Saccharomyces cerevisiae S288C: one gene and its partners. The gene in region 3 interacts genetically with the main gene of each other region. Each region holds a gene or a part of one and is shown on either strand. Other genes may lie near its edges.

The links.
Region 1: mutations in PES4 (region 3) and SKM1 together harm fitness more than expected from each alone (negative genetic interaction), as found in Saccharomyces cerevisiae (2 studies listed by BioGRID).
Region 2: mutations in PES4 (region 3) and CQD1 together harm fitness more than expected from each alone (negative genetic interaction), as found in Saccharomyces cerevisiae (2 studies listed by BioGRID).

What each region holds. Positions count from the first base shown.
Region 1 is NC_001147.6:101,458-108,750, forward strand, and holds SKM1 (putative serine/threonine protein kinase SKM1), read left to right. Parts: upstream 1-2,868; coding exon 2,869-4,836; downstream 4,837-7,293. Other genes in the region: non-canonical poly(A) polymerase PAP2, read left to right, coding at 18-1,772; PTH4 (Pth4p), read right to left, coding at 1,860-2,468; Rab GTPase-activating protein MSB4, read left to right, coding at 5,253-6,731; MDY2 (Mdy2p), read right to left, coding at 6,801-7,293. UniProt on the Saccharomyces cerevisiae protein: May be involved in cellular signaling or cytoskeletal functions. May play a role in morphogenetic control.
Region 2 is NC_001148.4:342,692-350,122, reverse strand, and holds CQD1 (Cqd1p), read left to right. Parts: upstream 1-2,733; coding exon 2,734-4,526; intron 4,527-4,678; coding exon 4,679-4,859; downstream 4,860-7,431. Other genes in the region: DPC25 (Dpc25p), read right to left, coding at 258-1,004; YPL108W (uncharacterized protein), read right to left, coding at 1,171-1,677; GDE1 (glycerophosphocholine phosphodiesterase), read left to right, coding at 5,384-7,431.
Region 3 is NC_001138.5:197,394-204,252, reverse strand, and holds PES4 (Pes4p), read right to left. Parts: upstream 4,380-6,859; coding exon 2,544-4,379; downstream 1-2,543. Other genes in the region: HIS2 (histidinol-phosphatase), read left to right, coding at 1-510; LSB3 (Lsb3p), read left to right, coding at 820-866, 961-2,293; ROG3 (Rog3p), read right to left, coding at 5,219-6,859.

The DNA of each region.
Region 1 (7,293 bases), on a different chromosome or scaffold from region 3:
GGAACTATACTTGAAATATGGGGGCAAAGAGTGTAACAGCCTCTTCTTCAAAGAAGATTAAAAACCGGCATAATGGGAAAGTGAAAAAGAGCAAGAAAATCAAGAAAGTACGGAAACCACAGAAGTCTATATCCTTGAACGACGAAAACGAAGTAGAGATTTTACCTAGTCGTAATGAGCAAGAGACAAATAAATTACCTAAAGATCACGTCACGGCGGATGGAATTCTTGTATTAGAACATAAATCTGATGATGATGAAGGATTCGATGTCTACGATGGACATTTCGATAACCCTACTGATATTCCCTCGACTACTGAAGAAAGTAAAACGCCTTCATTAGCAGTGCACGGGGATGAGAAGGATCTTGCTAACAATGATGATTTTATCTCTCTTTCTGCTAGTTCTGAGGATGAGCAAGCCGAACAGGAAGAGGAGAGGGAGAAACAAGAATTAGAAATTAAAAAAGAAAAGCAAAAGGAAATCCTTAATACTGATTATCCATGGATTTTAAATCATGATCACTCCAAACAGAAAGAAATCTCGGACTGGCTAACCTTTGAAATCAAGGATTTTGTTGCCTATATCTCACCAAGTCGTGAAGAAATTGAAATTCGTAATCAAACCATAAGTACAATAAGAGAGGCTGTCAAACAGTTATGGCCAGATGCTGATTTGCACGTGTTTGGATCATATTCTACCGATTTGTATTTGCCTGGTTCCGATATTGATTGCGTGGTAACGAGCGAACTTGGTGGTAAGGAAAGTAGGAATAACTTGTATTCGTTAGCAAGCCATTTAAAAAAAAAAAATTTGGCAACAGAGGTTGAAGTTGTCGCCAAAGCTCGCGTTCCAATCATCAAGTTTGTTGAGCCACATTCAGGGATCCACATAGATGTTTCATTTGAGAGAACAAATGGTATTGAAGCAGCAAAGCTTATTAGAGAGTGGTTGGACGATACCCCCGGCCTGAGAGAATTAGTCCTTATCGTAAAACAATTCCTACACGCAAGAAGACTAAATAATGTGCATACCGGTGGTCTTGGTGGGTTTAGTATTATATGTCTTGTCTTTTCCTTTTTGCATATGCACCCACGTATAATAACTAACGAAATAGATCCAAAGGACAACTTGGGTGTGCTCCTGATAGAGTTTTTTGAACTTTATGGGAAAAATTTTGGTTATGATGATGTTGCACTGGGATCATCGGATGGATATCCAGTATACTTTCCAAAATCGACATGGAGTGCTATTCAGCCTATTAAAAATCCATTTTCATTGGCCATTCAAGATCCAGGTGATGAATCAAATAACATCAGTCGAGGGTCCTTTAACATTCGAGATATTAAAAAGGCATTTGCTGGTGCTTTTGATCTGTTGACGAATAGATGTTTTGAATTACATTCAGCAACTTTTAAGGATCGATTGGGGAAAAGTATATTGGGAAACGTGATCAAATATCGTGGAAAGGCAAGAGATTTCAAGGATGAAAGAGGTCTAGTACTGAATAAGGCTATTATTGAAAATGAAAACTATCACAAGAAACGTAGCAGAATAATTCATGATGAAGATTTTGCCGAAGATACAGTTACCTCCACAGCCACCGCTACCACAACAGATGATGATTATGAAATAACGAACCCACCTGCTAAGAAGGCTAAAATAGAAGAAAAACCTGAAAGTGAACCGGCCAAGAGAAATAGTGGAGAGACATATATCACTGTCTCTAGCGAAGATGATGATGAAGATGGATATAATCCTTATACCCTTTAATATGTGCCTTTTTGTTTAAATGATGCACTGAACTGTACATCACTGTGTACCTGGATAGAATGTGTGTTTAAATATGCGTATTATGTATTAATAATTGAATTTAATTTTACTTCTGTTTTTCTTTTTATCGCTGTGAACTTTTTTGTCAAGAAGTCGCTCTTTGTTGGCTTTCTCTTTTATTTTATTCCATTTCTTTGAGGTCTCAGCAGTGGTATCATTAGGAAATTGGCACGTTTGCCGAATTTCTTGAACCAACTTCTCGAAGCATTTTAATTTGTTGGTTTCCCTTGACCTAGTTTCATCAGATTGAATTACTATAGAATCGCTGCCCTTAGCGTAGTATCGAAACCTGCCGCTACTTAAGATGTTTCTCACTTCCTGAGGAATCCAAGCACAGTTTGATAAACCAGAAAGTGTCAAAGTACATTTACTATTTACCTTATTAACGTTTTGGCCTCCTGGCCCGCTGGCTCTATCGTAACGTAAAATAAATTGATTTAAGGGCAAGCCCGTTACGTTAAGTGCTCCTACCCAGTTTCTTGCCTGGACGAAGTCAGATTTCTTTCCGATCTTTTTATTACTAATCAATCTGACTGCCTCTTCAACGAACTGTTGTTTCTTGCAGTGCAACATTGGTTGAAGTACAAACAGAGGGGAGCGCCCAGTAAGTTTAAACTTTCCCATCAATGTTGTCATATGATATTTCTTGGCGTGTTTCCCTTCAATTTACTGAAAGGCAAACAGTAATGTTAAGGATTCTGTTGTTTTTTTTTACCGTATACGCTTGATTTCGTCAGCCCCTTGGAAGACACGAAATGTTGACTATCCGCTTCCAGATCTGGTAAAAGATTGATTTGCGATAATTCCTGTTGTTGTCATCACGGGTGTTATGGTTTGTTGTAAACTAAAAAAAGAATGAAGGAACAGGACGCAGATTCATCTAATCAAGTTCTGTGGGGAGGTCCCCAGTGGTAAGTGAATAAATATTCGCTTTATGAAGACCTACACCTGGTTTTCTCAATGGATCAGACGATAAGTACAATTTTTGTAGAGCTATACTCGAGGACAATCAGACAAAACGAAAGAATATCTTTCGATGAAGGGCGTAAAAAAGGAAGGATGGATATCTTATAAAGTTGATGGATTGTTTTCGTTCTTATGGCAAAAGAGATACTTGGTACTGAATGATTCGTATTTAGCATTTTACAAAAGTGATAAGTGCAATGAGGAACCAGTCTTATCTGTGCCTTTGACTAGTATAACAAATGTTAGCAGAATACAATTGAAACAAAATTGTTTTGAGATTCTTCGGGCAACAGATCAAAAAGAGAACATATCCCCCATAAACTCCTACTTTTATGAATCAAATTCCAAAAGATCGATATTCATTTCCACAAGAACCGAACGGGATTTGCATGGCTGGCTTGATGCCATTTTTGCCAAATGTCCTCTCCTTAGTGGTGTTTCATCACCAACAAATTTTACACACAAAGTACACGTTGGGTTCGACCCAAAAGTGGGAAACTTTGTTGGAGTACCTGATAGTTGGGCTAAACTACTACAAACCTCAGAAATTACGTACGACGATTGGAACAGAAACTCAAAAGCTGTTATTAAAGCACTGCAATTTTATGAAGATTACAATGGACTGGACACAATGCAATTCAATGATCACCTCAACACAAGCTTAGACTTGAAACCTTTAAAAAGTCCGACAAGGTATATTATAAACAAGAGGACTAATTCCATCAAGAGATCAGTAAGTAGGACGCTCCGAAAAGGCAAAACAGATTCCATTTTACCCGTCTATCAATCAGAACTTAAACCATTCCCAAGGCCTAGTGATGATGATTATAAGTTTACCAACATAGAGGACAATAAAGTACGCGAAGAAGGCAGGGTGCATGTTAGTAAAGAAAGCACGGCAGATTCCCAGACAAAGCAGTTAGGAAAGAAGGAACAGAAAGTCATTCAAAGCCATCTGCGAAGGCATGATAATAATTCAACATTTAGACCTCATCGACTAGCACCATCTGCACCTGCTACAAAAAATCATGATAGTAAAACTAAATGGCATAAGGAGGATCTCCTTGAACTTAAGAATAATGATGATTCGAATGAAATAATAATGAAGATGAAAACTGTTGCAATTGATGTAAACCCAAGACCGTATTTCCAACTGGTAGAAAAGGCTGGTCAAGGAGCAAGTGGTGCAGTATACCTGTCAAAGCGAATAAAATTACCTCAAGAAAATGACCCGAGATTCTTGAAATCACATTGCCACCGAGTCGTAGGCGAAAGAGTGGCCATTAAGCAGATACGTTTATCTGAACAACCAAAGAAACAATTGATTATGAATGAACTCCTAGTGATGAATGATTCGCGCCAAGAAAATATCGTTAATTTCCTTGAAGCCTATATTATTGATGACGAAGAGTTATGGGTGATAATGGAGTACATGGAAGGTGGCTGCTTAACAGATATATTGGATGCTGTAGCAAGGAGCAATACCGGTGAGCACTCATCGCCGTTAAACGAAAACCAAATGGCATATATAGTAAAAGAGACGTGCCAAGGTTTGAAGTTTTTGCATAACAAGAAAATTATCCATCGAGATATCAAATCTGATAATATCCTTCTGAATTCCCAAGGGTTAGTGAAAATTACAGACTTCGGTTTTTGTGTGGAATTAACAGAAAAAAGAAGCAAGCGTGCCACAATGGTAGGTACTCCATATTGGATGGCACCTGAAATAGTGAATCAAAAGGGATATGATGAAAAAGTCGACGTTTGGTCTCTAGGGATAATGCTTATTGAGATGATAGAAGGTGAACCGCCTTACCTAAATGAGGATCCTTTGAAGGCGCTGTATCTGATAGCTAACAACGGTTCACCAAAATTGCGTCATCCAGAGTCAGTGTCCAAGCAAACCAAACAATTCTTAGATGCCTGTTTGCAAGTGAATGTCGAATCAAGAGCATCCGTGAGAAAACTACTAACGTTTGAATTTTTGTCAATGGCATGCAGCCCTGAGCAGCTCAAAGTATCCTTAAAGTGGCATTGAAATTTAGCTTTTTTTTATTTAGGAGAAACAATATATATATATATGTATATACGTATGTATGATTCATATTTTAATCGCATTTTTATTTCATCTAAAACAATTACTCTTTTTGATTATTTATAGAAAAAAAACAACAATGATACGTTTGCTTCGCGTTATGTCAATAGAAAATGTAAAAGGAAAAAGAATGTGTTGCTATTCGTTAGGCGGATTTACGGATGGAAGACATATCTATGAACTGAGCTTACAAACGCTTTTAGCGGGGACAGTTAATCATTTTACGGATGATTTTATAAGAATAAACTATTTTTGAAAAGTTAGGATAGTATTTTGTACATTTGGCACCGAAGTAATTCAAAATCGAGGAAGACTCGCACACTTTTACAATCACAGAAGGCAAAACCCGGCATGACAGGATGATAATGTCATCAACTATGTCGACAGAAGCCGCCTTGGTACCGAACGAAAGTGTTTTTGACACAGTTTCGTCATTCAACGAAGACGATGCCAATTATAGCGTTCTTGATTTATACGATGACGACGATGAAGGGGATGATAGTTCTACAGTAGAACGAAAAGAAATATTGACAACACGTGAGCTTGAAAAAGCAAAGGCGTTTACCAGCTTAATCATGGCAGATCCTGAGAATTTTGATAGATATGGATTTAGCAAGAAAGGATATTTCATTAGTCAGGAAGAATACGACAAATGGTGGACAGAATATAATAGATACACCGAAAGAAGAAAAAAAAAGTGGGAGAACTTTCTTCTTAAGAATAAGATTGAGCTCCACAATGATAATCCTCTAGTATATCCTGCAAGGACAGATGAATTGTCAAAATTTGTTAGAAAAGGTATACCAGCAGAATGGAGAGGGAATGCCTGGTGGTATTTTGCTGGTGGACAACGACAATTAGACGCAAATGTTGGCGTTTATGATAGACTGAAAAGTGACTGTCGCGAGGGTGCCGTATCTGGTAAAGATATGGAAGCTATAGAACGGGATCTTTATCGAACGTTTCCCGATAATATACATTTCCATAAGGAGTCCTTCCAAAATGGAGAGCCGGCGATCATCCGATCATTGCGTCGAGTATTAATGGCCTTTTCTGTTTATGACAAGACTATTGGATACTGCCAATCGATGAATTTTCTCGTTGGATTGCTATTATTGTTCATGGAAGAAGAGAAAGCATTTTGGATGCTGGTTATTATTACCGGTAAGTATTTACCTGGCGTGTATGAATCAGACTTAGAGGGTGCGAACGTGGATCAAGGGGTGTTGGTGTTATGTATCAAGGAATATTTACCCGAGATATGGTCACACATTGAGTCATCGTATATGAATGGCAATGGCAGCACTGACCAGATATCAGGGCCAGCATCGGGGGAAGAATATCTCTGCAGGCTGCCTACGCTGACGCTGTGTACGGCAAGTTGGTTTATGAGCTGTTTTGTGGGCGTGGTGCCCATCGAAACGACCCTGAGAATATGGGACTGTTTATTCTATGAAGAGTCTCATTTTTTATTTAAAGTGGCTTTGGGGATACTGAAATTGAGCGAAAGCGAGTTTTTGGAGAGTAAAAGCCAGAAACTGTTTAGACAGTACTCTTCGTACACCTTCGGTGGTAGTAATGACTCTGATTCAACTTTCAAAAGATTAAAGAACAAGATTAAGACGCAGGAAGAGGCAGATATGGAGATTTTGCAAGTGATTCAAAATTTCCCAAAAAGATTGCTCAATCCGAATGATATCTTTGAGAAAGTCCTGATGAAGAAGAAGGTTGCGTTGAATGGTATTACCCAGGAAAAGATTGATCGCGGTAGAGAGTATGTGGCGATGGCGAGAAATAGACAAAGGGCGAGTAGCCGCCCAAAGGAAAGAAGAAAATAGTAAGCGCAACCGTGATAAAAAGCGCAACTGTGTAAAATAACAAGTATGTACGTACTAACTATACTAATCTTATTTGGCCAGAGACCAGCCTTTTTGTAGACGCTCCATGACTTGCCTAACCGCAGCCTGATCGTTCTCGAAATTGTTCTTCAGAAGAGCCTCGATATCATCCCAGGGCACAGTGAGTTCCTGTGGAGGAGCAGGAGCAGGGGAGTTAGTGGATTTCTCGGCTTCGGGTTCCTTAGATATAGTCGGATTCGGCTTAATCATGACTGTGATTGTGGAATTGGCAGGCGTGACCTTCAAATCCGATAAGAACAGGTTATCGTGGAGGACTTTGCCCTTCAAAAGCAGTTTTATCTCGCTTATGTGGGAGGCCTTTTCCTCGCTGATCAAGTGCTGTTTTATTTGTAAGATAGTATCTGATGGGCTGAAATCATGCTCGATGGAGAACTTGGGAGCTTGAATTTTCTTTAAGGTTAAGTGGACGGCGGCGTTGTCTTGACCTTGCTGATCTTGGTGCAGTTTTAACTTCTTGGCACGATTCTGCTTATATTTATAC
Region 2 (7,431 bases), on a different chromosome or scaffold from region 3:
CATTTTTTTTAATATCTTCTCTGTATAGTTAAAAAAAGATTATAATATAATATAACTGAAAATTTTTATGAATATGTGTATGTTTACGAATATATGTATGCATGAATGGGGACATGCCAGCGCGTATTCACGCATTAGTCTCCTAAACCCTCTAAGTGAAATATATGTATGTTTATTATTCTCCATCCATAAAGTCTACCAAGATCAAAGAAGACCGCAAATATTGTACATAGGCTTTTCAATAATATATATTTGCTTCAAACCAAAGCTGTCCTCTTTTTTATTTCTTCCTGTCGGCGAATTTTTTGTAATCTTTTCTTTGATTCAAACTCTGCAAAGGCTTTAACGTAGACAGGAATATCTTCCCAGCCTTCATCAGCATCTGATTCACTGACTGATTGGTCTCCTCCATCTTTCTGTTCGTAATTGTGTCTCAAAGCAATATTTTTCCTCTTGGCTGCCAATACACTCTTGGGCAGAGGCCCTTTTCTTTTAGGGAACAAACTTCTGATAGCAGATAAATCATGAGGTTGTTCTGCTTTTTTGCTATCGGTTTCCAGCTTCTTTTCACGTAACTCAACAGGGACATTTTCCATATGTAACAATCCCAAAGGTGGATTCCAGTCTTTAGGCCACTTCTCCTTAGTTCCTGCGATCTTTTCCGCAGCCTCTTTCCTTCTATGTTTCCAGTCTCTTAAATCCTCGCTATATATCTCCCAGACACAGTTAACGCAACCTGACATGCAACAGTTATCGGGTTCTTGTGGTTTTGCAGGCACTTGGACACCTGCTATTTTCTTCGTTCCGCCGCTAAGCACTCTACTTGTGGATCTTGGTGGTTCACCCTTTAAGCGTCCTCCAAAAACAGTGGTCATTCTTTCTTCGACAGAAGTAGAGATATCTTGAGTGTTTCCTTCAAAAGTCATATCTACTCTGGAGTATCTTGTGAACCTCCGCACCGGATAAATTCTGTAAAGTAATGACCATCCCTGATTTCTTATCATTTTCTACTTTTGATCACGTCTCTATCTAATGACGGTTTCATGCACCCTCTGACTGTTGTAATTTACGTATTATTATTCTGTTTAATTTATGCTATTTATGTAAATGAGTTCGGCCATGTCGGAGGAGAAAGATATCTTTTTTCAAATTTGAGTATCTGATTCGGGCTTATAATACATGCCCACGACATCGCTCGATCATATATTCCAACTCTTCAAGCTCCCTCTTCATTTTATTCTTCACGTTGAACGGTTCAAAGAGCCCCAGAAAATAGGTGCTGAGATCCAGACACTCCTTGTACTTACATTGGTAAAATAAACGATGGCAGAAACCACTAAGCACCTGTCGCTGATGCTTATTGGAGATATCGTACTTGCCTTCCCGGATCTCAACCAAGGGATCTACCTCATCCATCCATCCTACCTTTGTCCGCACAGGGCCTTGTTCTACTTCGAAGTAGTGCTGCAATTGCTGTGTATACTCTTCTTCCGTTTGACCTTTACGTATTTTAGTTTTCCCGGTGGATTTTCTAACAATTACTTCACCTGTTCTACCATCTAACGAGATTGGCTTAGTCACTGATTGATCCTTCTCTCCGTGGGCTTTCCTAAAACCTGTACTATAGTTTTTTTCCACCATTTTTGGTGCTTCTTCTCTATCAGATGCTTCTTTCATAAAAATTATTATCTTTCTTAGCTGTTATTCATCTTACATTTTTTTTTCAATTACGGCGAGGCGATGACTTCAATCGTTGCTGTCAAGATTGAATTGACAATTACAGTCGATGTTGAATATTAACTTATATATGACAGATCATTACAGCTAGTCTAGTTCGACAAGATTAGTAAGATTAGGAGTTATTTTTAACTGCTTATTATGCAAGTTGTGTAGGCCACAGGCGCAACTGAAAAACATAATTTCAGATTAGGCAGTTACTGGAAAGATCGCGTTCTTGTATTGTCTAAATAGAAGCAGTTGTTTTAATAATGCTTACAATTGAACTATGAACCAAAGCAATAATTTATGAGAAACTAAAATGGGATGCATCAGATCTTTGCACTCAATTGAGTTTAAAACTGTACAGGTACTAATATTATATTAACGCTGCTTCTATAACACTTGTTTTGACATGACGATAAGTGTAGTGTATTCAAATGCCGTATGTCACTTGAACACACAGGGAACTGCACTCTGCACTTCGGAACAAGATTGAAAGTTACTGTGTTATTAACCTTTGCCAACAAGCGAAAACAACCAGGTGTTTCTGCGGTTTACAAAATCTTTAAGGGATTGAGGTTAGTTGGCTCAAAGAGAAGAAGTTCCCAGTCGATGTATCAAGCAGAGCTAAGAGAAAAAGTGCCGCGAAAGGGTTTGATTGGTCAAGTTGGCTTGTTCATCAGGAACTAAATTAATCAAGGTGTGATTCTATCTGTCAACCCCCCCCCTTGATACTTCCTGTACTTAGAATCAATTTATTAAATACAAATTTAGAATCTGTGATTCGTAAATCTTAAGTGTTTAAATACTAAGTGTGTATTAAAGGCTTTACTTCAAGCAACGAAAAATAAATAACCCCGAATATATGAGGGGCAATAATACCTTTTCACTCATTTGATGAAAAAGAAAAGATGTTTGATGTTATAGAAAATACCTTATACCATATCTTCTACCTACTCATCAATATCAAACCCTCACAGAATAGAGATAAAGAACATCAGAACCATCTGGGCAATGTCATTTTTAAAGTTCGCTTATAGAAACTCTTGGCGATACTATAGCAAGTCCACACGGCATTTTCATAAAATACCTATAAGACAGTTCATAATACCTACGTCAATTGCTTTTTATTTGACACAAAATTCGTTTCCAAAACAAAATTGTTTGATATACAATGATTCTCTAAAACCGGATCCCAAAGGTGATACTTTTGAAATGGGCCTCTACGTTTCCTCAGAAAACGAATTGCAGGAAAAGCTTAAATCTTTCAGGTCTGCTAAGATCACTGAATCACGAAATAAATTAATAAGATATCTAAGAATCTTTTGGTTCGGTTTTAATGATAATATTGTTGAGCCTGTATGCACGATTTTAAGGTTTTTAGAAATTTCAGCTATTTTTTTACCTCTTCTCCTATTATACCCCATATCATGGTTTGGTCATAAACTCAAAATTACGGACACCAATATAACTGAAACTCGAGGTTCATTGATTTGGTGTCAACTACTGCGTAAAGCATTGGAATTGGCTGGCCCGAGTTTCATTAAACTCGGACAATGGGCAGGATCGAGAACCGATATATTCTCTCACGCACTGTGTCATGAGTTGGGTAAATTGCATAGTAACGTTACAGCTCACTCTCTAAGCTTTACTCTGGAAAAACTTTCTCAAGCATTAAAGGTTGACAAGATCGAAGATGCTTTTGATGAATTTAATCGAACACCAATTGGAGTTGGGTCCATCGCACAAGTTTACGTGGGTGAACTATCCCAAAAGTACATCGATAAATATGACAATATACAAATTGGTAAGGATGGAAATCGTTGGTGTGCCATCAAGATCTTGCATCCAAATGTAAGATCTCAGATCCGGAGAGATTTGAAAATAATGAAATTCTGTGCTGACGCAATAAATTGGATTCCGACTATGGAATGGCTGTCTTTACCCAGCGAAGTCGATCAGTTTTCCATATTAATGAATATTCAGTTGGATCTAAGAATTGAGGCGTTAAACCTGGAAAGATTCAATGAGAACTTTAAAAATTCTATTCAGGTGAAATTTCCTAAACCATTTCTCCCCTTGTCAAATAGGGATGTTATGTTCGAAGAGCATGTATATGGTCTTTCCATGGAAAAGTTTTTATCTACGAAGAAGCAAATTAACGACGTTGAACTTTGTAAAAAAGTCAGTGATCCCTTCGTTGACGCGTTTCTACAAATGCTAATTCTTGATGATTTTGTTCATGCTGATTTGCATCCAGGCAATGTTATAATCAGATTTGTGAAGACGAACAAATACGGCACAAACATTATATCCTCCGAACTTGAATCGTACAGAATAACGCACGACCTGAGGAAGAAGATAGAGGAGGACCAAGATCAGGACTTTGTTGGAAAACTGAAGTCTGTATTAACTAATTACACTCCCCAAATTTGTTTTATCGATACAGGAATAATTACAGAATTGAATGAAAAAAACAGAATTAATTTCATAGCTCTATTCAACGCATTGGCCCGATTTGATGGTTATAGAGCTGGTGAGTTGATGATTGAGAGATCAAGAACTCCAGAAACAGCTATTGATAAGGAAGTATTTGCGTTTAAGGTAGAAAAGCTAGTGGATAAAGTTAAACAAAGAACATTTACATTGGGAACCGTCTCAATTGGCGATTTACTCGATCAAATGCTTAGTATGGTAAGGTCGCACCATGTTAGAATGGAGTCCGACTTTGTTTCCGTGGTGGTCGCTATTTTACTTCTAGAGGGTATTGGACGCCAGTTAGATCCAAACTTGGACTTATTTGAAAGGTTCGTATTTTACGCATGGATTAACGGTTTTAAAGAATAACATCAATTTTTTAAAACCCTTTTCTATTGCTTTTTTTTGCTTTTTATTGCTACTAAAGAAATTCTTTTACTAACAAAAATACCCACATCTTGTAACTTCTCTTCGTAAACAGTTCGCTGCCTATATTACGTGAATTCGGGTTTAAGCGGGAAGCCAAAAGTCTCTTGAAAGATGCAAGCACATTATCAATGCTCAAGATATGGGTTGGTTTAGAAGTGCGTCAATTAATGCATCTCTCGATGAAGCAAATATACGATCTTGTCAGGACTGATCAATTGTGTCCTAATTATTAATATTCTTTCTTTTTATGCATCTTTTATAATTGCGACTTCCACGTGTTCGCAGGTGGAGCAATGTTACACACGCTGTCCCAACATATTAGCTCTCCAAAAAAACGACCAAGTTTATTTAAGTGACAAATAATAATTTGCTGTTGCTCTAGCTGAAATTTAGACCAGTGCTGTCATTATCGACTCGTAGTGTTCTTTTAATAGTAAATTTCGTCAAAACGTTTCTAATTCACTTAATAGCGCCAACTGAATAAGAGAATTATTTTTAGAACGTGCACATTATATTAAAAAGAGAGCGTTGGCTGACAGAAGTAAAAAATAAATTATTGTCTTACAAAGTGAGACTATTAAAGAGTTTAAGTTTTGCAATTAGTGCTTCATTGAACAATAAGGCAACGGTAGCAAAAAATTTAAACCCAACTAAGAAGGGAACCCTCATCAAATTACACAAAAATAGCCACTATCTCCAACTAAGGTGACAAACTACTGAAACTGTAAGGTCTTTATATAATCAAACAATATAATCAATGAAGTTCGGAAAAACCTTTGCCAATCATCGCATTCCAGAGTGGTCAAGTCAATATGTTGGCTACAAGTCGTTGAAGAAAATGATTAAAGAAATTACAAGACTTCAAGAAGACATATATAGGGCACATAACAAGAATAGCTATGATGAAGGCAGGCCACCAACAAAAATGAGAGATTCATCTAATAGTGCTCAAAATTATTTGGACTCTCCAAAAATCCAAAAGTTATTGGCGTCGTTTTTCTTTGCAGTTGACAGGGATATTGAGAAGGTTGATACATTTTACAATTCCCAGTATGCGGAATATAAGAAAAGATTTGAGAGATTGCTTTCTTCTAATCAATTCAATGAGATAAAATCAACATTAGTGGTCGATGCCAACAAAGAAGATGCAGTAGCGCAAACCTTACTCACAAAGGATACGAGAGAGATGAATATGCTTTTAAAGGGAACAAGTCAAGCCAGCCGTCTATCTTACCATAAAGATGACTTAATTGAAATTCAGTCTATCTTAGCTGAGTTAAGAAAACAATTTAGAAACTTAAAGTGGTACGCTGAACTAAATAAGAGAGCTTTTGGTAAGATTTTAAAGAAACTGGATAAAAAAGTCGGCACAAATCAGCAAATGTCAACTATGAAAACTAGAATCTTGCCGTTACAATTTGCTAATGATTCTCTTATTACCAAAGATTTGAGTTTGCTAAAAACTATCTGGGAACAAGTGACGTTCAGGATAAATTCTTACGAGAGAGTAATGAGGAGTACCTCGCCGAACGCAAATGCTAATGATAATACAGAATTCTTTAAGATTATTTGCGTTTTTATAGAAGAAGATGATAGCAAAGGATTGATTAGAGAGCTAACAAACCTATATTCGGAATTGTCTTTGATTCCAACAAGAATTATGATAAGTGTTTTAAACAAGGCAGCACTGTCTAAATCACTGGCATGTATTGATGCTATCTTAAAGGTTATTCCGTCTCTAAATGACTCGGAAGATATTAACAGAAGAAATTTTTTCCATCATCACATAATTGCAATCGGGAAGTTAATCAGAAAACAGGAAATTTTAAGTAGGAAAAAGAAGTCACAACCCTCAAAATATACTAATAGTGAGGGAGAAATTGTAACAGATTTAAGAACCCTGCATACGACCCTATCTGCCCCGGCAGAATCAGATAGCATTACAGAGGAGGAAAAAAGTTCGGCCTGTACACTCTCTTATATTTTAGAGGAGTTACCAATTCATTTAAGACCATGCCTTTTTCAGCATGATAATTACAAGAGAACGCCCTTGCATTATTCTTGCCAGTATGGCTTATCTGAAGTTACGAAGTTGATTATCAAGTTAATGAAAGAATGGAATATCTGGAATGAAATCCCTATTGATGACGTTTCCGCGTTCGGAGATGCCGAATCATTGACACCTTTACATTTATGTGTGTTGGGTGCTCATCCCAAAACAACAGAAGTCTTATTGCAATCTTTGGATCCGAACGTGAAATTAAAAAGTTCAAGTTTGTTACATTTGGCCACTGAGTGGAATAACTATCCCCTTTTACATGTTCTCCTATCATCAAAAAGGTTTGATATTAATTATCAAGACAACGAATTACATGAAACACCGCTATATCTTGCTTGTAGATTAAATTTTTTCGAAGCTGCTGTGTGTTTGTTGTACAATGGAGCCGACCTTGAAATAAGAGAAAAACTTTTTGGCTGGACAGCTATCTTCGTTGCAGCAGCAGAAGGGTTTACGGACATTGTAAAGCTCTTGATAGCCAACAACGCGAACTTTGATATTGAAGATGAAGGTGGGTGGACGCCGATGGAGCACGCGGTATTGCGCGGTCATTTGCACATTGCTGATATGGTTCAAATCAGAGACGAACTGGTCACGCATCCCCATTCACAGTTGAACAGTGGTAGCGAAGAGAAAGAACCACTAAACGAAATTAGTGCCGGAGAATTAAATGAGAGAAATGAAAATGGAAACGGAGGTAATAAAGGGTCCTTGGGAAAACTGGCCGGACCAATAAAGTCATATGG
Region 3 (6,859 bases):
TACGAAATGCTGATCAATATTAAACCGTTGGTCGTGGGTCACTTCGACCTTTACAAATTATTTTTGCCCAATGACATGCTAGTAAACCAGAAATCGGGCAACTGCAACGAAGAAACCGGAGTTCCTGTAGCTTCACTGGACGTCATCAGTGAATGGCCAGAAATATACGATGCAGTTGTAAGAAATTTACAATTTATAGACTCCTATGGCGGCGCAATTGAAATCAATACGTCCGCATTAAGAAAGCGCCTCGAGGAGCCGTACCCCAGCAAAACCTTATGTAATCTGGTCAAGAAGCACTGTGGATCCAGATTTGTTCTAAGTGATGACGCACACGGCGTGGCGCAAGTGGGTGTGTGCTATGACAAGGTAAAGAAATACATAGTAGACGTGCTACAATTAGAGTATATTTGCTACCTTGAGGAAAGCCAATCACCAGAGAATCTGTTAACTGTAAAGAGATTACCCATTTCGCAATTCGTTAATGATCCCTTTTGGGCCAATATATAATCTGATTATCTTGAACTGGATGTACATAAAAAAAAACTGTCATATAAACTCATGTACAGCTGTGTAGAAGTGAATGATCTTTCCAAGAAAAAAATTTCACACTGAATTGATTGAATTGACTGCTCATTTTATATTGGGTGCCCAAATTGTCTTTCTTTATTGTTCGTTTAGTAGCAGCACCCTGTTTGCTCGCCGACTCGGCCGCATCTGGAAGTTCAACATGAAAGAGTATAAACTATCGAAGAAATCTAGAACGGCTTTGGATCACGGGTGGCAAAGAAATCAAAAACAAAAGCTGTATCACACGCAATGGGTATTAACAATCCTATTCCAAGGAGTTTAAAGAGTGAGACAAAGTATGTTTTATACGGGTTTGGCTGGGAAACCTTTAAAAAAGTTCTCCCTTAATTTGTTCATCATTTACTAACTAGTAATAAACAATTAATAAAGAAAAGCAGCGAAGATTTTGGCTAGTTTTGTCAAACCAAACCAAGTTTTTGGTGCGGACCAAGTCATTCCTCCAGACGTTTTGAAAAGAGCTAAAGGGTTGGCTATCATAACGATCTTAAAAGCAGGTTTTCTATTTTCAGGTAGAGCTGGTTCTGGTGTGATTGTCGCAAGATTAAAGGATGGTACTTGGTCAGCTCCATCTGCCATTGCCATGGCAGGTGCTGGTGCCGGTGGGATGGTTGGTATAGAATTGACTGATTTTGTTTTCATTTTAAATACTCAGGATGCTGTTAAGTCGTTTTCTGAATTTGGGACCATCACGTTGGGTGGTAACGTCTCCGTTTCTGCTGGGCCTCTTGGTAGAAGTGCAGAAGCAGCTGCATCAGCCTCCGCCGGTGGTGTGGCTGCAGTTTTTGCCTATTCTAAGAGTAAAGGTCTATTTGCAGGGGTTTCTGTGGAAGGTTCGGCTATTATAGAAAGAAGAGAGGCTAACAGAAAATTTTATGGTGACAATTGTACCGCGAAAATGATTTTGTCTGGTAGGATAAGACCGCCTCCAGCAGTTGATCCATTGTTTCGTGTTTTAGAGTCCAGGGCGTTTAATTACAGACCCTCCAACGGTGGTCGTGGCAGTTTCGATGACGACGAAGACGATTACTATGACGACGACGATTACTATAATGACATTCCTAGTTCATTCAGTTCTACAGATGCTTCCTCCACTAGACCTAACACAAGATCCACAAGGAGAAGAGCCCAAAGCGGTTCTCGTTATACGTTCGACGATGATGATGACGATGATGATTATGGTACTGGCTATTCAAGGAATTCAAGACTGGCTCCTACCAACAGTGGCGGTAGTGGTGGTAAATTGGATGACCCATCTGGAGCTTCAAGTTATTATGCCAGCCACAGAAGATCAGGAACTGCTCAGTCAAGGGCTCGTTCTTCAAGAAATCGTTGGGCTGATGATGAATACGATGATTATGATGATGATTATGAATCCGGGTATAGACGCGGGAATGGAAGAGATAGGACAAAAGACCGTGAAGTCGATGACTTGTCGAACAGATTTTCTAAATCTAGAATCTCGTCCGCTTCAACACCGCAAACTAGTCAGGGCAGATTCACTGCTCCAACATCCCCATCCACGTCTTCTCCAAAGGCCGTGGCATTATATAGCTTTGCAGGAGAAGAGTCCGGAGATTTACCATTCAGAAAGGGTGACGTGATCACAATTTTGAAAAAATCAGATTCTCAAAATGACTGGTGGACCGGAAGAGTCAACGGTAGAGAAGGTATATTCCCAGCAAATTACGTTGAACTAGTTTAAAAAATTTGAAGGAGAGTAAAGAATACGAGAAACGTTATTGATTTACACTTATACCTTTTGCCTTACAGTTTATCAGCACTCGGACCTAAATACATATCATATAGCAGACGGCGTCCCTCTGTCTATCCTTTTAAGAATTTTTTCCATAATAATAATTTTTAATAATATCTAAATATAACGAAAAAGATTGAATTAGTGTAAATAAAAAAAATAAATAAGGAAAACTCTAGCTAAATTAACAAAGAGACATTCATCTTTTAAATCCTAACGAGCTTGCAGCCTCTTCAATTTGTTTTTGCAATACACCTTCATGATATGGACTACTATTTAGCAACGATAAAAATTTGTCCAATATTAACACATCGCGATTCCAATAAGTGTCGAATATATACTCAGCTATTCCGTGCACATTTTCGTCTCTAGTGGCACTTGGAAATCTCATGAAATCTATACCTCTTCTTACTTGCTTTTCGAATGTTTCCAAAACTTTCTTATTGAAATTTTTATTCTTTATTAGTGATCTTGTGCTGCTATTCATTGACGAAAGATCTCTCATGTGTGGGGAGTTCAAACTATTCGCATGTGAGTACTGGTAATATGGGGTAATTTGTGGATGAGAAGAGGTGTGTATATTGCGCATTCCATAACCATCATGATATTTAGGTGCATTATTTTGTCTTTCCCAAGATGTCGTGACGATGCTTCCTCCTACTAAACGGTTATTCAAAAAGTTAAATATTCTCGTAGCATCTTCAAAATTCCTGAATTTGATGAACCCAGAATATGTAGAAGAATTTTCGTCATATCCATCTATCTGAATCTTGAACGGTCTAATATTTTCTTGGTGACATAAATATTTAAGAAATTCCTTATTGCAGACAGCGCTTAAATTTTCCAGGAAAAGTGTAGATATTTTTTGAGATTCTATAAATTTGGCTCTTTCTTCTTTATCCTGTGCCCTGGTTACTAAAAGCTTTTTACCTCTGAAATAAAAATTATTGTAGCGTTTAATTGCCTTTTCTGAGTCACTGCTATTTTTATATGTAACAAATGCCCAAAGATATTTAACTTTAGTGGCATTGGATAGATAAATTGACTTAATTGGACCCACTTCACTGAAGAAATTTAAAATATCATCCCTTGTAGTTATTGTTGGAAGGTTTTTGATGAATATAGAATTTTGGGATGAAGAGTAAATATTTTTAGATTCCTTATCATTCCCCTTGGAGTGTTTCTCATTCAAAGATTGCTCTTTTTCAATAATTGTTTCCGCATCTAATCGTGATTTTTGTGTTTCAAAATTTGGAACACTTCTGACCTCTTTATCAAAATGTATTCCACATAGAATTTTCTTACCAAAAAAACTGGTATTATTGTACATTTTGATCACATTTCTCGCAGTTTTTTCGTCCTCAAAGTAAACAAATCCTATATCTTTCCTAGAGTCTAATTTGCATGATAGAATTTTACCATATCTAGAAAACGTATCATAGAATACTCTTGTTGTTAATAATGGATTATTTAGAGGTAGATTAGAGAAAAAGACATTAGTGCCGAAATTCTTTCTAAACGTTGTATTCCTCAATGATGGCATAATCCTAATTTCTTTACCATTAACCTTCGTGTAATTTAATTCTTCCATAGCCTTTTCAGCTTCTTCTTTGTCTTCAAAATTTAAGTAACCATGGCCCAGTGATTTTTTTGTCACTGAATCAAGACAAACTTTAGCAGAGACAAAAGAGGGATATTTTTTGAAGATCCCTTTTAAAGTTTCTTCAGTAACTGTTTCATGGAGGTCACCAATGAATAGCGGAACTAGTTTTTTACTTTCAAAACTTTTCAATTTTCCATTCTTGTGACCGGATTTGTTGTTGTTAATTCTCAAAAATTCAGGTGAATCAGAATGGCTCGAACTTGACGATCTGGATGTTTTTTCGTGGTAGTCGTCTGGCCTAATAGGAGTAACTACGGGGTTAAATGATATTTTCTTTTCTTGATCTTTTTTTACTTTCAAATCCTGGTTTTTCAAAATATTCAGGGGAACCATACTGAGTATAGAAGGTTTTTTGTTTGAAATAGAATACATGTTTCCTCTTGTAGGTTGAAATTTTTTTTGTGATACTGATTCTCTCGTTATTATTGGTTCGTTCAATTAATGAATAATTAGTTTGATTATTTTCCTCTTTATTTGACCTTAGGAACAGTTTTTAAGGTATACTCTGAACTGCAAATTTTTGTCATAACTCTTGGTAATCAAGGCTAGAAGTGTACTATTTTTGCTTTCTGCACAAGGCTTTTTCTTCGGTACGACACAAAAACAACTATTGTGTCGCAGTCCATAGAAGGAGCAAGAAAAAAGAATGTCTTTAAAGGCGAATGTGATTCTATGCTTTCTAGTACCTACTGTGCCGAATAATGTGTAAGTCTCAAAATTCTTTTCTTCCAAAGCATATCCATAATATTTACCTTACGCTGGGTATTTTTTTTTTGGTCACTCCAGATCTAGTTTTTTAAAACTTGATCCCAACGTAACTAAATATAAACAAGACAAAGCTCGAAATAATATAATGTAATTTAGCGAATGTAGTGTTTATATCACCACATTTGGAGAATGTACAATGAATAGTTTCTCTGTCTCTAATGGAATAAGAATTTAATTTCAAGATTTAATTACTTTATGGTGGACCATTTATCTTATGATATCTAGCAAATCAAAGGATCCCTCAAACTGAAAACCAATAGCAGGATCGACCTGACTCTTTTCAACAATGCAGTGGATTTTTTTGAACTTATACTGCCGCACGCCAAACATTGCATTTATCCCTTTTTCTTTAAAATGCCAGTTAGAGTGCGTAAATGCTATATACATCACTTTCTATATGAAACTATACAAGCTTAATGCACGAGCCGAAACAATATCGGCGACTATCGTTTGTTACCCTTTGATAGAAAACCTCCCATAAACCCAGCTAAAGAAGTAGCCCTCCGTCTTGTTGGTGACCTTTTCATACTATTACTGGATGGGTTATTCGAAGTTTTCGAAGTTAACTCATTAAGTGTATTAAGAGATACCCCACTAGAACTACTTCTAGAGCCATTAATTATGGAAATAGGGGAAGCAGTGCTACTCATAAAACTAGAGGAATGAAAGCTAGTTGGTATAGAAGATGACAATGTTGTCGAAGAGTTCCTGGAATGTACCCTACTGGGTTTTCTTGGTTGCACATTTTGTATCGCACAAGGGTAGGAAGGAGGAAGGTCCTCACCAATGATATCATATTTCATTGCCTTGCCATACGATGGAACCTTGTTCAGGTTTTGAGTCTCTGGATAATTTAAGCCCGAGGGCACTGGTAACACTTCATGGGCTGACACGCTTGGGGCTGGGGATCTTGAAAGTAAAACAGGTGATACGTTACTATGTACTCCTGGCACAGAGCCACTATTGGGACCAAGAGCACTCTGAGGTAAGATTCTCTCCGTGCCATCCTCTGGTGCTGGAACGTTTAGTAATGGAGATAGCGATCTGGAAGCGGCAGCAGACGAGGCAGACGGTGGTAGCCCTAGATTGTCACGTTGATTTCTAATTTTTGTCAACCGTATACGTAAATCTTCTAAATCCTGTTGCTGATCCTCGACAGTCGAACATTCGCTTCCCAAAGGAGTACATGTTCCAGACGTTTCCACAGCCGTGCGAGTGAAAGAACCGCTATAAAGACGATCATATACGTGCATTTCATAATTTGGGGGCGTCATCAAGTCTGAAATGGTAGGAACAGAGCCACCGCTACGCATATCCGCTAATAATTCCAACCCTGTGACTGATGCTGATCTAGAAAACAGATATTCCTCTTCCTCTTCTTGTGATGAGTTTTCGTCTTTCTGGTTAGTGGTGCTAAAAAGCGAATACAAATTCGAGGATGACAATGGTTTTATTGAAAGTGCCACAAATGGTGAAATAAAAAGTTGAATCGGTAAGGACGCTCTTAACTCAGATTTATGACCATCTGGGTTAATTAGGATGATGAAAAATTTGAGCTTATGGCGAACCTTAATGTTAGAGCGGACATCACAATCTTGCACACAGTTTGATAAGCTGTTCGGGATTTGCAGGATGGTATCAATCTCCCACTTGTCTTGGAATGAATGATCAGGCTGAAAAAAGGGGTTATTTACAAAGCAACCATTACCATTAAATTCTCCAGATGACTCGTTCAAGGGATCTTCAAGATTTAGTTCTGTCACTTGCCTATTTTCAGAAATTACTGGAGGGAAGGGGTCACAATATTGATAATTCTCAAATAATACGACTTTGATTGAGCCCAATTTCAAACCTTTCGAAAGAGGTACAATGGAAATATTTATAGGGGTGGCTGAACCAATAGCTACGGCTTTGTTGGGTACTGAAATAGAATAATCCACTTTGTCGGGCCATGAGTTATCTACACAAACAGTTTCTGATAACTCCACTGCTGCGGGTGAAATGGTTCTCAGAACTCTAATATTTTTCCTACAGATCAAATCACTATAATTTTTGCTGCGTTCAATAACGGATTCCATGCTATA